2 linked regions of the Danio rerio genome follow. The protein of the gene in region 2 purifies or fractionates together with the protein of the main gene of each other region. This does not show direct contact. Links are inferred from orthologs where the notes say so. Each region holds a gene or a part of one and is shown on either strand. Other genes may lie near its edges.

The links. Proteins that work in one complex are often made in the same cells at the same time.
Region 1: the proteins of cyld (region 2) and spata2 purify together in Homo sapiens (affinity purification with western blotting; 10 studies listed by BioGRID and IntAct, with this or other methods). This does not show direct contact. The link is inferred for Danio rerio from reciprocal best matches to the Homo sapiens genes CYLD and SPATA2.

The regions. Positions count from the first base shown.
Region 1 is NC_133198.1:3,531,812-3,537,948, forward strand, and holds the end of spata2 (spermatogenesis-associated protein 2), read left to right. Parts: coding exon 1-182; exon of another isoform or gene 183-1,136; intron 1,137-1,317; exon of another isoform or gene 1,318-1,885; coding exon of another isoform or gene 1,886-1,909; coding exon 1,910-3,229; 3' UTR 3,230-4,243; downstream 4,244-6,137.
Region 2 is NC_133182.1:37,727,103-37,733,249, reverse strand, and holds part of cyld (ubiquitin carboxyl-terminal hydrolase CYLD), read left to right. Parts: intron 1-2,705; coding exon 2,706-2,772; intron 2,773-2,859; coding exon 2,860-2,992; intron 2,993-3,287; coding exon of another isoform or gene 3,288-3,404; exon of another isoform or gene 3,405-3,823; intron 3,824-4,780; coding exon 4,781-4,889; intron 4,890-5,024; coding exon 5,025-5,143; coding exon of another isoform or gene 5,144-5,189; intron 5,190-5,346; coding exon of another isoform or gene 5,347-5,369; exon of another isoform or gene 5,370-5,784; intron 5,785-6,147. UniProt on the Homo sapiens protein: Deubiquitinase that specifically cleaves 'Lys-63'- and linear 'Met-1'-linked polyubiquitin chains and is involved in NF-kappa-B activation and TNF-alpha-induced necroptosis.

The DNA.
Region 1 (6,137 bases), on a different chromosome or scaffold from region 2:
CATACCAGGCTGATCCAGGGCAGCGATTTCGCATGCTTCGCTTCTATGATGTTGTTGAGAACTCCCTGAGGACTCAGAGAGGCACAAGCTTGCGGACAGTGGGAACAGCCTTTGCAACGCTGGAAACCATCTGCACCAATTTGCTGCTTTTTCCATGGAAGAAGGAGTACCGTTGCATAAAGGTGAGTCAGCACGTTAATTATTAGGTCTAAAAATTCTAATTATGAACATCTTGATATCCACTGAGCACACAAGGAAAGATGTTTATTTTTGGGTGAACTATCATTGGACAGAAACAGCTGTGTGGGAAGTTAAGGTTATAGTTGCAGTGGGAATGAACATTTTGTGTGGTTATTTATTAAGCACATTCTATTGGGGTTAAATAATTGCTTAAAGCAGGGGTCACCACACTCCATCCTGGAGGGCCAGGGTCTTGCATATGTATCTCCAATCCTAATTAAACACACCTAAACAAGCTAATCAAGATCTTCATAGGCACAATTCCAGGCAGGTGTGATGAGGCAAGTTGGAGCTTAACTCAAAATTACAAGCAAAAGCTGCACAATATAGCATCAAATCATTATTTTTTATTATTTAGTTGTTTTGTATCGACAAACATCCTAAGTTGGTAAAACTTGTGTGCGCGCGCGTACCCAAAAAGCGGTGGGAGTTGCACGCGCGACGCGACATACCTGAAGAGCGGTGGGGGTGAGCTGCGTGCAACGTACCTTAAGAATGGTGGGGGTGAGTTGCGCGAGACGTACCTTAAGAACGGTGGGGGTGAGTTGCGTGCGACGTACCTTAAGAATGGTGGGGGTGAGTTGCGCGTGACGTACCTTAAGAACGGTGGGGGTGAGTTGCGCGTGACGTATCTTAAGAACGGTGGGGGTGAGTTGCGCGAGACGTACCTTAAGAATGGTGGGGGTGAGTTGCGCGTGACGTACCTTAAGAACGGTGGGGGTGAGTTGCGCGTGACGTATCTTAAGAACGGTGGAGGTGAGTTGCGCGAGACGTACCTTAAGAACGGTGGGGGTGAGTAGCGCGAGACGTGCCTTAAGAACGGTGGGGGTGAGTTGCGCGAGACGTAACCTTAAGAACGGTGGGGGTGAGTTGCGCGAGACGTAACCTTAAGAACGGTGGGGGTGAGTTGCGCGAGACGTAACCTTAAGAACGGTGGGGGTGAGTTGCGCGAAACGTAACCTTAAGAACGGTGGGGGTGAGTTGCGCGAGACGTAACCTTAAGAACGGTTGGGGTGAGTTGCGCGAGACGTAACCTTAAGAACGGTGGGGGTGAGTTGCGCGAGACATAACCTTAAGAACGGTGAGGTTGAGCTGTGCGAGACGTACCTGAAGAGCTACTAGGGATGCGGTGGAGAGAGGGGTGTGTAACGTATTTAGGACCGGGCAGGAGACACTCGATTTCCGGGAGATTATCATTCATTTGCGGGCATTCAGGAGTGTCTATGCATTTCAGGGATACTCCCGCAACTTCCGGGAGACTTGGGATGTCTGCATTGACAATAGAAACAGATTGACACCATTGAAAATAATGGCAGCCCCCATAGTCCAAAATATGTATAAAATTATTTGGATTTTGTTAGCATAATGTCATGTTTTTATCTACTTATAAGGATACTTAAGGATAGTTTGTCCAAAACAGAACATTCGTCATCATTTACTTACTTTACTGTTTGAGTTTCTTTCTTCTGTTAAACACTAAAGAATATATTTGGAAGACGCCTGCAAAACTACTATGGAAATGAATATAGGTTTTCAGCTTTCTTTAAAATATCTTTAGTGTTTAACAGTAGAAAGGGAATCACTTGAGTGAGAGTAAATAGTAAAGTTTTATTTTTATATCTCTTTAACATCATTTACATTGTTAATGACTTGTCTTTCACACTTGCAGACCTTCACAGGGCCATACGTGTACCAGTTGCAGTCTGTGTTATGCGACTCCGACCTGCGATCTCTACTGCGTTCCATGGGCTATTCAAGAGAACAGGAATTGCAGTACAATGTTAGGGACCATCCAGGTGGAGCTTCTCACCTTCGGCAGCTTGCTTTTGAACTGCTTCTGGCTCAGGCAGAGTGCCGTCTGTTGGGCGAGGTGGTTTCCATGTCTCGTGGCTTTGCATCAGAGCTGGAGGCTGTGGAGTTGAGAAGAAACACCAGAGAAGATGCAGCGGGGTGTGCAGATGCCCTTCGTAGACGAGACAGCCTCACTGGAGATTTGTCCCGCCTGTCTGTGCGACCGCTAGATATTGATCGTGCCCACCTAAGGCGAAGCGGTCGCCCATCCAAGTCAGTGGATGTAACGGACAGCGCAGGACACTGGCACCAGGCCAGCAAGCCAGTGCTGAAGGCCTCACTCAGTCTGCGCAAGGAGCCGTTGTTTGTTGACACAGATGAAGACATGAAGGACGAAATCATCCGACCTAGCCCCTCGCTCTATCCAGTGGCAGCGCCACCTTCTTACAGTCCAGTGGCTGACTTCTTCCCAATTCAGTCGCCCCCGTCAGAGCCATACTCTTACCACTTGTCCTCCCTGGACGAGGTGGACCTGTACACCGAGCGGGGGTTGGGTGGCCACCAGACACCCTCTAGGCCACCGAGCCGGGAGCCTCGAGACAGTTGGGTTTTGAAAGGACACATGATGAAGTGCCAGGGCTGTGGCATGGGCTGCCCTTCGCTTTCCTCTTGCCAAAGGTGCGACATGATCTTGTGCTCCTCTTGTCATGCGGTGGACCCAGCACCTTGTTGCGGCTTCCAGGATTACACTAAAACCTCCCGCCCTCTGGATGGCTACATGCCCATCAAGGAAAAATTGTCTGTCTACTCCAGTGCCCACTCGCACACCCACCCTCATCCTCACCCACTTCCCCACGCTCAGTCCCATTCGCTGTTGCTGGACAAAGCTGTGATGAGCTCCAAGCTGTTTCCCAGTAAACCTGTGGGTTCGGGCCCCAGTCCGGTGGGCAGCTTGGTCAGCAGTGGCAGCAGCAGCAGTGGGGGTGAGCGGCTGAGTGTGGGCGGCTCCCGCTGTGGCTTCTGCAACAAGCCAGGTGCCTCTCACACCTGTGTGAACTGCTCCAAGGTTTCATGTGACACCTGCATGAGCCTCTACGCCAGTGATTTGTGCACTCGCAAAAATCCCCATCATAACTTTGTGCCCAATCATCAACTCAATTTCAAATCCAGCACCATATCTCACCTCGTATATCGATAGACCAGAAACACAGTTGTGCACTACACCTCTATTGCTTTTTTTTTTCTCTGCTTTTTTTTCCCACCCTTGATTTCTGTTTTATTTAAGTTGTCCTGCTTCCTTTCTCCGTTGGCTATTGTTTGGTTTTGGTCATGTGATCTTGCAGTGCATTTCCTGTCCCTCAGTTGACTGTTTATAACTGTATGACTGGAGAGATCCATCTCAGTATCAGTGTTTGTTAACTCGGATAAAAAAAAAAAAAAAACATGCAGCGCGTAGCAGAGACTTCACCCTGGAATTGAAACGAAAAAGTTGGAACTTCTCAAACTTGAACAAAAGGAAAAAAATTATGATAATAATAACCTTACACTGGACATAAATAGTATATATTTTGAATTGTGAAGCTATAGCTCTATATAAGACTATTGGTCTCATAGTGGGGGGAGGGGTTTCCCAGTTAAATGGGGTTTCAGTAGTGAATTTGTATCAGAACTTCTAGTTGCTGTCATGTCACTATATTGAGTCCTCCGACAAGAAATGCCTTGTGGGTTTACCCCTAAGAAGTCAGTCTATGCTGTTCAAAATGCTGCTGTTGAAAGTAAAACCAGGAGGGGGCGCTCTTGACTCATGAAACTCCCCTTGGCAAGGTTCATGCACACACTGTATGACAGGGGTGCGCAACCTTGTTCCTGAAAATCCACCTCCGAGTTTAGCTCCAACTGATCAAACACAACTTTAACCAACTAAGTATTAGAAGGAGCACTTGGTAATTAAAGCCATGTGCTTTTGATCAAGCTTCTAGCTGAACTCTGCAGCAAGGCAGATCTCCAGGAACAGGGTTGGGCACCTCTGCTGTTTGATTATGTCAGTATGTTTTTTTTTTAATCTGTCCAGTTTTCCTTTACATCTTTGTAACCTGTTATGATTTGAATTGGAGAATAATTTAATATTTTGTGTACTGTCATTAGAAAGTTATTTTTGTTAATTCATTGTACAATAAATTTATGGTGTGTACACATACCATGACAAACTAAAGTTTTACTACAGGGTGAATGTTATGAGGATTGTGTGGGTCATATTTTATTTTAGAATCCAGATTCTAGTTGCTGCAATGCAAAAATAGCGATACAGTATTAAGCGCCATTCGTAATCGTTCATAATGCTCCCATTAAGAAAAAGGTTTTACAGTACCAAATGTTATTACCACTTATTTATTGAATTATTTATTTATATTCTAAAGTAAAATGTGACTTGGACATATTTATTTTATTTTTTTTTTGAGAGAGAGAGAGAGAGAGAGAAATTCACCCTAATAATGAACTGTATAATCTTATAAAAATTGGCTTGTTTCTATTAATTTAACACTAATTTTATACATCATTTCATATATTTAATTTCCTCTTTTTCCATCTAGTCTGTCATCCTGGTTGCATATCTTTAATTTCAGAGACCTTTCGACCTGCTCTCCCTGCTGCCTTAGGTAAGCTTTTCCAGTCCCCTGAAGGCTGCGCTCAATGCAGGACTCCATGCTTAATGTCTGTACGCAGCATAAAGCGGTGGCCAAAAAAAAAAAAAACCTTGTCAGGGAAACAGAAACTAGCACAATACATGACTGCATGTTCTGACACAGTAACTTCAGTGTGTGTTTTTAATTTAGCGAGTGTTAGTGGATCTGGCCAGTCCTCTAGCTCTCCTTGCCTTTGTCTCTCTCAAACTCTGCAGGTTCCAGAACAAAATACTGCAGGAAAATGTGATTGGATTTCACTCGCGAGTGACAGCATGATAAACCAATCAAAACGTCTATGTGCCAAACGCCCACAGGCTGTGAAGAAAGAACCGAACTGCATATCCGCACGCTCACTGAGCCACCAACCTTGGGTAACAAACCAGTTCTGGTATTAATCTGTTTGTGTGTTGGTTTCACTGAACTGGTGGTGATTCCTCCTGGTGAAGTTCCTCAACACACACTGCTTTATTCATTCAGACATCAGCTGAGGTCAGATCTATCCTCAACGGAGGTGTGGTGGGGCGAAGGGACTGGGTGGGTCAGGGGTAAGGAGTTAGCCGAAATGTTTGTCAGTAAAAGTATAATCCTATAATTCTATAAATTAATGAAAAGCGATGATTTTATAAAATAATTTCAGAAATAAAATTCTACCAAAAAATGCGCTGCCTTTGGTGTTTGACTTTTGGGTCAAAAATCGTCAGAGATGACTTCACATTCAACAGTAATCAAGTGAAAGGAAAAAGTAAGTGTTAATCGGCTGGATGTACTCTTTAGTTTAAGTACTAATTCTTACTACCTGTTTACTATTAATATCAGGGGCGGATTGGGACAAAATTTAGCCCTGGCACTGTAGCCACACCAGCCCAGATTACCACACAGACACGCACATTCACTACTCAAATTGGTGTACAGATGGTGAAATAATTTAAACATTTAAATTTAATGAATTTAAAACATTTAATGTATATGACTTGAACAAAAACTACTCGTCATTCTCTGTCGCTCTATCTAAGGATTAAATAATTTATGCATGTATTTAATGTTTAAAGACTAGCAACAGTTAGAGAAAAAAAAAATTTCAACACATTTCTAAACATAATAGTTTTAATAACTCATCTCTAATAACTGATTTATTTTATCTTTGCCATGATGACAGTAAATAATATTTGACTAGACATTTTTAAAGACCCTTCTATACAGCTTAAAGTGACATTTAAAGGTTTAACTAGGTTAACTAGGCAGGTTAGGGTAATTAGGCAAGTTATTGTATAACAATGTTTTGTAGATTATCGAGAAAAAATTATAGCTTACAGGGGCTCATAATTTTGTCCCTAAAATGGTGTTTAAAAAATTATTAACTGCTTTTATTCTAGCCGAAAAAAAAAAGAAATAAAACTTTCTTCTGAAGAAAAAATATTATCA
Region 2 (6,147 bases):
ATGAGAATCAACGCAATTGGGTAAAAGTTCTTTAATTATTAGAGGTGCAGCAAGACATTATATGATACTTGATGTTACAATTTATAAATTGGACAAACATCACTATAGTTGAAGTCATAATTATTAGCCCCCCTGAATTATTAGCGCCCCTGTTTATTTTTTCCCCCAATTTCTGTTCTGTTCTTGGAAGATTGTTTCAGCACATTTCTAAGCTTAATAGTTTTAAAACCTTATTTCTAATAACTGATTTATTTTATCTTTTCCATTGTGACAGTAAATAATGTTTTACTAGATATTTTTCAAGACACTTCTATACAGGTTAAAGTGACATTAAAAGGCTTAACTAGGTTAATAAGGTGAACTAGGCAGGTTAGGGTAATTAGGCCAGTTATTGTATAACGATGGTTTGTTCTGTAGATTATCGGAAAAAAAATTAGCTTAAAGGGGCTAATAATTTTGTCCCAAAAATGTTTTTTTTTTTAATTAATAATTCTAGCCGAAATAAAACAATTAAGACTTTCTCTAAAAGAAAAAATATCATCAGACATACTGTGAAAATTTCATTGCTCTGTTAAACATAATTTGGGAAATATTTAAAAAAAAAGAAAAAAATCAAAAGGGGGATAATAATTTTGACTTGAATTATATATATATATATATACTGTAATATGTAAAACATATTTACATAACAATGTAGTGGTTCATTCCGCTGTAGCGACCCCAGATTAATTAAGGGACTAAGCCGAAAAGAAAATGAATAAATAATAATAATAATAAATAAATAATAATAATAATAGCGGACCTATCATAATGTTGTTATGTGATGACTTGTGACACGTACTGATGTTGTAGAACATGCTATTCTTTCAGAAACTCTTACGATGATGCCAAATCGTTTTGGGGAGTGAAGTGTTTTCTGTGTACTTGATAAAAGCTTTTAATGATCTTTTATCTTGTGTGCATCCTGCTGTTTTAGAGAACATTGTGCAGCCATACTGAAACATGGGTGGAATCTTTGATGTCCACTGGGCTTTTATAAAACTGTTATGACATAGAACATTCCCTTCTGTACACAAGCACAAAGTCAGAGATAAAGCCATAAATGAAAGACTTTATAGAGGATGCTGAGGCTAAAGTTGATCAAAAACATTTACTTTATTCGACGTATAAATTATGGTAGTCAGGTTTTCTCAGTTTAGACCTAGTTTATATTAGATGTGTATCCTAAATCACTTTATAATAACATTTGAAGTCCCCTTGAACTGGAAGCTGTGACCGTTATTTTTTTTTATATTGTGACACAGTTTTTGAAGAAATAAAATAGTAAATTAGCAAGCAGTGGCCGTGGCCTGTTTTTTCTACTGCAAGCTGAATGGATGTTGTATAGTAGGCATTTCCTTTAGAAAGATGGGGAAAAGGGTTTGTGGAGAGTTATTACAACCTAACAGATTCCCACTCCTCACCATTTCTGTTTGGTGTCAAAACTGAGTTGGAGTGGCATGGTTAAATATTTAAGCCACGCCCATTTGCTAAGATATACATAATCAGACAATTTAACAATACAAACAGGAAGTGCATTTTTACATTTCAATTATAGATTAGAAGGGCAATTTTTTTTCTTAATGACATGCATAAATGAATTGTTCAACAAAAAATAAAAAATAAAAAACTAGCAATGTGAGCTAACATAATCATCTGGTTTGTTTTGATTTCTTGAGGACTTTAAATGAGTAATTAAATGAGTGATACATTTAATGCTTACCCTTTATTTTGCAGTGTCATTGTTACAGTGTAATTATACATTCAGGTAATGAGTGATATTATTTATGTTTGTGTATGTGACCATCCGTTGTAATGTTCAGAGGAAAAAACAAAGAGCTGATCCAAAAGCAGCATTTAAACATTTAATGAAAAACCTATGACAAAACAAGACAAACTAAAACAAAGCAAAACAAAGCAGGAACACACAGACCTCATGGAAGTAACTCAAACAACAGACAATGAGAGGGGCACACAAACTGAAATATATAGTCCTGCTCATCAGTGGAAATGAGCCGCAGGTGTGAATGTGTGTGTGTGTGTGTGTGTGTGTGTGAGAGAGAGTGTCTGGATGACGGTCAGCTGGAGCAGGTGTTGATTGGTGCAATGCATTCTGGTCGTTGTAGTTCATGTGGTGTGTGTAGTTCATGTGAATTTTTACCAGCGATCTCTGGATGCGGGATCGTGACAGTGTACTTGACAGGGTTTTTGTTGTTACAATAGTACCATGTACACCATAAAATGATAATTATACATTTTTATTATTATTTATGTCTTTTTACCTTGTGCTTATTAAATAAATACTCTATGTAATTACAGACAGTTAATTTCTGTAAAAAAATGTGTATGTTGTTAACGCTACTCCTACTCCTACTGAACTCATCACAAAATGTACATTGTTCCTATCAATTACTTTCTTTGAATGCAAGTACTAATTAAGTACTAGTTAAAGAAAACTAATGGATCCCCTGCAACCTTATAAATTAAAATGAGAAACAAACATTTTGTTTGTAAATGTGATCATTTATGTGGTCTATTATGACATGATTTGCATTGATTATTTGATTTGGTTTATTGACAGAGTTCAAATATTTATCTGAATGTTTTATATCCAATATTTTGTGTGGAGTGATGTGTTTGACCTGAGGCATTTACTCTCTTTTTAGATCCAGAGGAGTTCCTCAACATCCTGTTTCATCACATCCTGAGAGTTGATCCTCTTCTCAGACTTCGGTGGGCATGTCCTTCAAATCCATGCAAAAATCTGCCTTTTCTGATATGATGAAGTTGGTATTGAAAAGTGCTGTGTGTCTTTTGCAGGTCTGCAGGGCAGAAGGTTCAGGACTGTTACTTCTATCAAATCTTTATGGATAAGAAAGATAAAGTGATGGTGCCGACCAGCCAGCAGCTTCTGGAGTGGTCTTTTATCAACAGTGATCTCAAATTTGCAGAGGTATGATATGTACATGTGCATCTGGAGCCTTGTGAACCATACAATTAGCAGAGAGGCCGGTTTCATTTTACATGCTTTATTGTTTAATAATGTCATCTTTATTGTTTTTATGTTGAAACTAAACATTACAAACCTTACAAACAAAAGATAACATGAACAAACCATTAGGCATGGGATTATAACCGTTTTCAAGGTATACCTCAGTTTGAAAAAGTCAAGGTTTTCATTTTCTGCTATACCGTTCCTAAGGTATGTGTAAGATTTCTTATTGAAACTTTTTTTTTTTGTTTTTTAGGACAACTGTATCTCCATCAGAAAAGAGATCCAAGATGCCATTTTAAATTGTAAAGAAATCAGTGTTTTTGAAACCAATGACGATAACAGAAGTCAATGGTTAATTTATTCAGCCTGACCTGTTTACTGCTACAAAATATTTCGAATGTTTCTCAAAACAAAATATATTGCTTTCAAAGGGGGAAAAGGTTTCACTTTTTTACCCAGACATTTAAAAAGAATATATTTAAGAGCAGTAATCACAATACTATAAAACTGTGATATTTTCATCCAAGGTTATCACTGTCAGAATCTTATTCCGGCCCATGTCTACAAACCATACAAGTTTGTTGTTACATAGAAACATTTAGATTTAAAAAAATCATATATAGACTGGTAGTTTGGGGTTGGAGAAATATATATTTTTTTTAAATACAAATTGGCATACATCAAACTTGCATGTATTTATAAAAATACGGTAAAACTAATGTTTTGAAATAATATTTTTTGATCAAATAAATGCATATGGATTTATTTAAAATAAACTTTTAAACTGTACTGTGTATTACTTTTTGTCAGGTTTCATGTGTTTGTTGAATCGTTTTAAGGTACAATTCCTGAATGAATAATAATGGTAGTAGTAGTAGAATTAGCATCCAGAGTATAGGCCTAAATGTTGAATTTCCTCCAAATAAACACAATGGGCCTCATTCATGAAACATAATAATTTTTGTGTAAATCCATGAAAGTTAATATTTTTAAATGTTAGTTGTTACAAATGAAATATGCATGTGCTTCCTCCCATGCTGCTTTTTTATCATTATTATTTTTCCCAACTCCATTATATTTCATTTGATCTTTTGACCTGTGCAGTAATTTTTTTCAAAATGGTTTGTAAAGTAAACATTAGTAAAGTTTACTGCTGTGGATTCCAAATCATAGCAACCCAAGCATCTCAGCTGAAAAACACTGTGCCACCAGAGCAATCTCAAGCGCCGCCATCTGGCCATATGTAGAAATGCAGCAGGCATTTTGAAACTGTCTAAAACGCTTTAGTGTTTTGAAATTGTATTTTTAGGCCTATGGCATATTAGTCTTTCTAATACTAATGAAATATGCTGGAGTCAAACCGTAGAAGGGAGTCCAGAACACTCCACTGCGTTCCTGGACATATCATTTACATATTTCTAAATTAGAAGGAGATTATGAATGAGAGTGCACTCTCGCTGTTGATAAATGTTGGGAATTCATTACAATCCATGAACATGAACAATCAAATCTAGTTTTGGGAAAGTATTTTAAGATTCTGGAGGGACTTTTTAAAAAGGTCTAGAAACCACTCAGACTACTCCTATATTTACTACTGTTTCACGAATGAGTCCCATTAAACACTTAATATTTATAAGAGACAGATGTATTCAAATGAGAATTGATGCATCTAAATATTGTTGTTCACTGTGATAAATGAGTGAATAAGGGGAAATGTCATGTTCTGGTCTGTTTATTTCTCTCCAGGCCCCTTCTTGCCTTATCATTCAGATGCCTCGGTTTGGGAAGGACTTCAAAATGTTTAATAAGATCTTCCCATCTCTGGAGCTTGACATCACAGATCTATTAGACGACAGTGAGTCACTTCAGTAACTAAATAGGCTTTGAAAAAAAAAAAAAAACACACATAATGTATTTTATCTGTGTTGGGATGAAGAATATAAGAAAAAAGTGCATTATATTTAAAGGAATTGACGAAGGTTTGTTTTAGCCCCTAGAGAATGTCGAATCTGTGGAGGTTTAGCTCTATATGAGTGCAGAGAGTGCTATGAAGATTATGACATCACACCAGGAAAGATCAAGCAGTTCTGTGAAAAGTGCAATACGCAGGTATTACAAACACACACACATAATCGTCTCATGAACATGCTCTACTGCAGCGATGTCAAACTCAATTCCTGGAGGGCCGCAGCCCTGCACAGTTTAGTCCCAACCCCAATTAAACACACCTGATCAAACTAATTGAGTCCTTTAGGCTTGTTTCAAAAATACAGGTAAGTGTGTTGGTGCAGGGTTGGAACTAAACTGTGCAGGGCTGTGGCCCTCCAGGAATTGAGTTTGACATCCCTGCTTTACTGGCTACTTAACTGAATTATCTCGCAGTTGTACCTTTCATATCCACTAGGTGGAGACCTTTTCTTATGAATAGCCGTTCAAATAAGCAGGTAGACAAGTGTAAGAGTTTAGTGCCACTGTATATAGACCATTTCAATGTTGTCATGTCATTGGCCCATGAACATTTCCTGCTTGTTATCAAACTATTTCATAACTGTAACAAGAGATAATTCAATCATAACTTTATGTTTAAACAGCTATCATATAATTATTTATCAATATGTGGACCATTTTTGGATTCTCAGAATCTATAGAAAGTAAAATGTAAAACAGGAAATACGTTGGGACCACTGTTTTCGTTTCCATCCCTAAAAATTATCTATATAATGGTTTATTTCCTTTTTGGTATCACTGAGAAAAAAAGAAAAAAAAAACTATTATGATTTCTTTAAGTTCTTTTTGTTGTGTCTTTATGTAGGTTCAATTATTATTTTTATTTATCTATGTATAAAGTTTTTTGTCAATTACTATTTCTATTATTTTGTTATTTTAATATAAAAAACCAAACTAAAAAAACTTTTGTTTTGGCAGCTAATTGAAGAAAACAAATTTATATAGTAATTTATTTTTACTTTATATTCAGTGCAAGGAAGTAAATAATTACATGTACATCTGGATAAGCTGATCAGAAACAGAATGTACATGTAATTATTTTTTTTATTACGTAAAATTACATTTTAAATTGCTTTTAATCATATTATCTGATTTAAAATTATTCA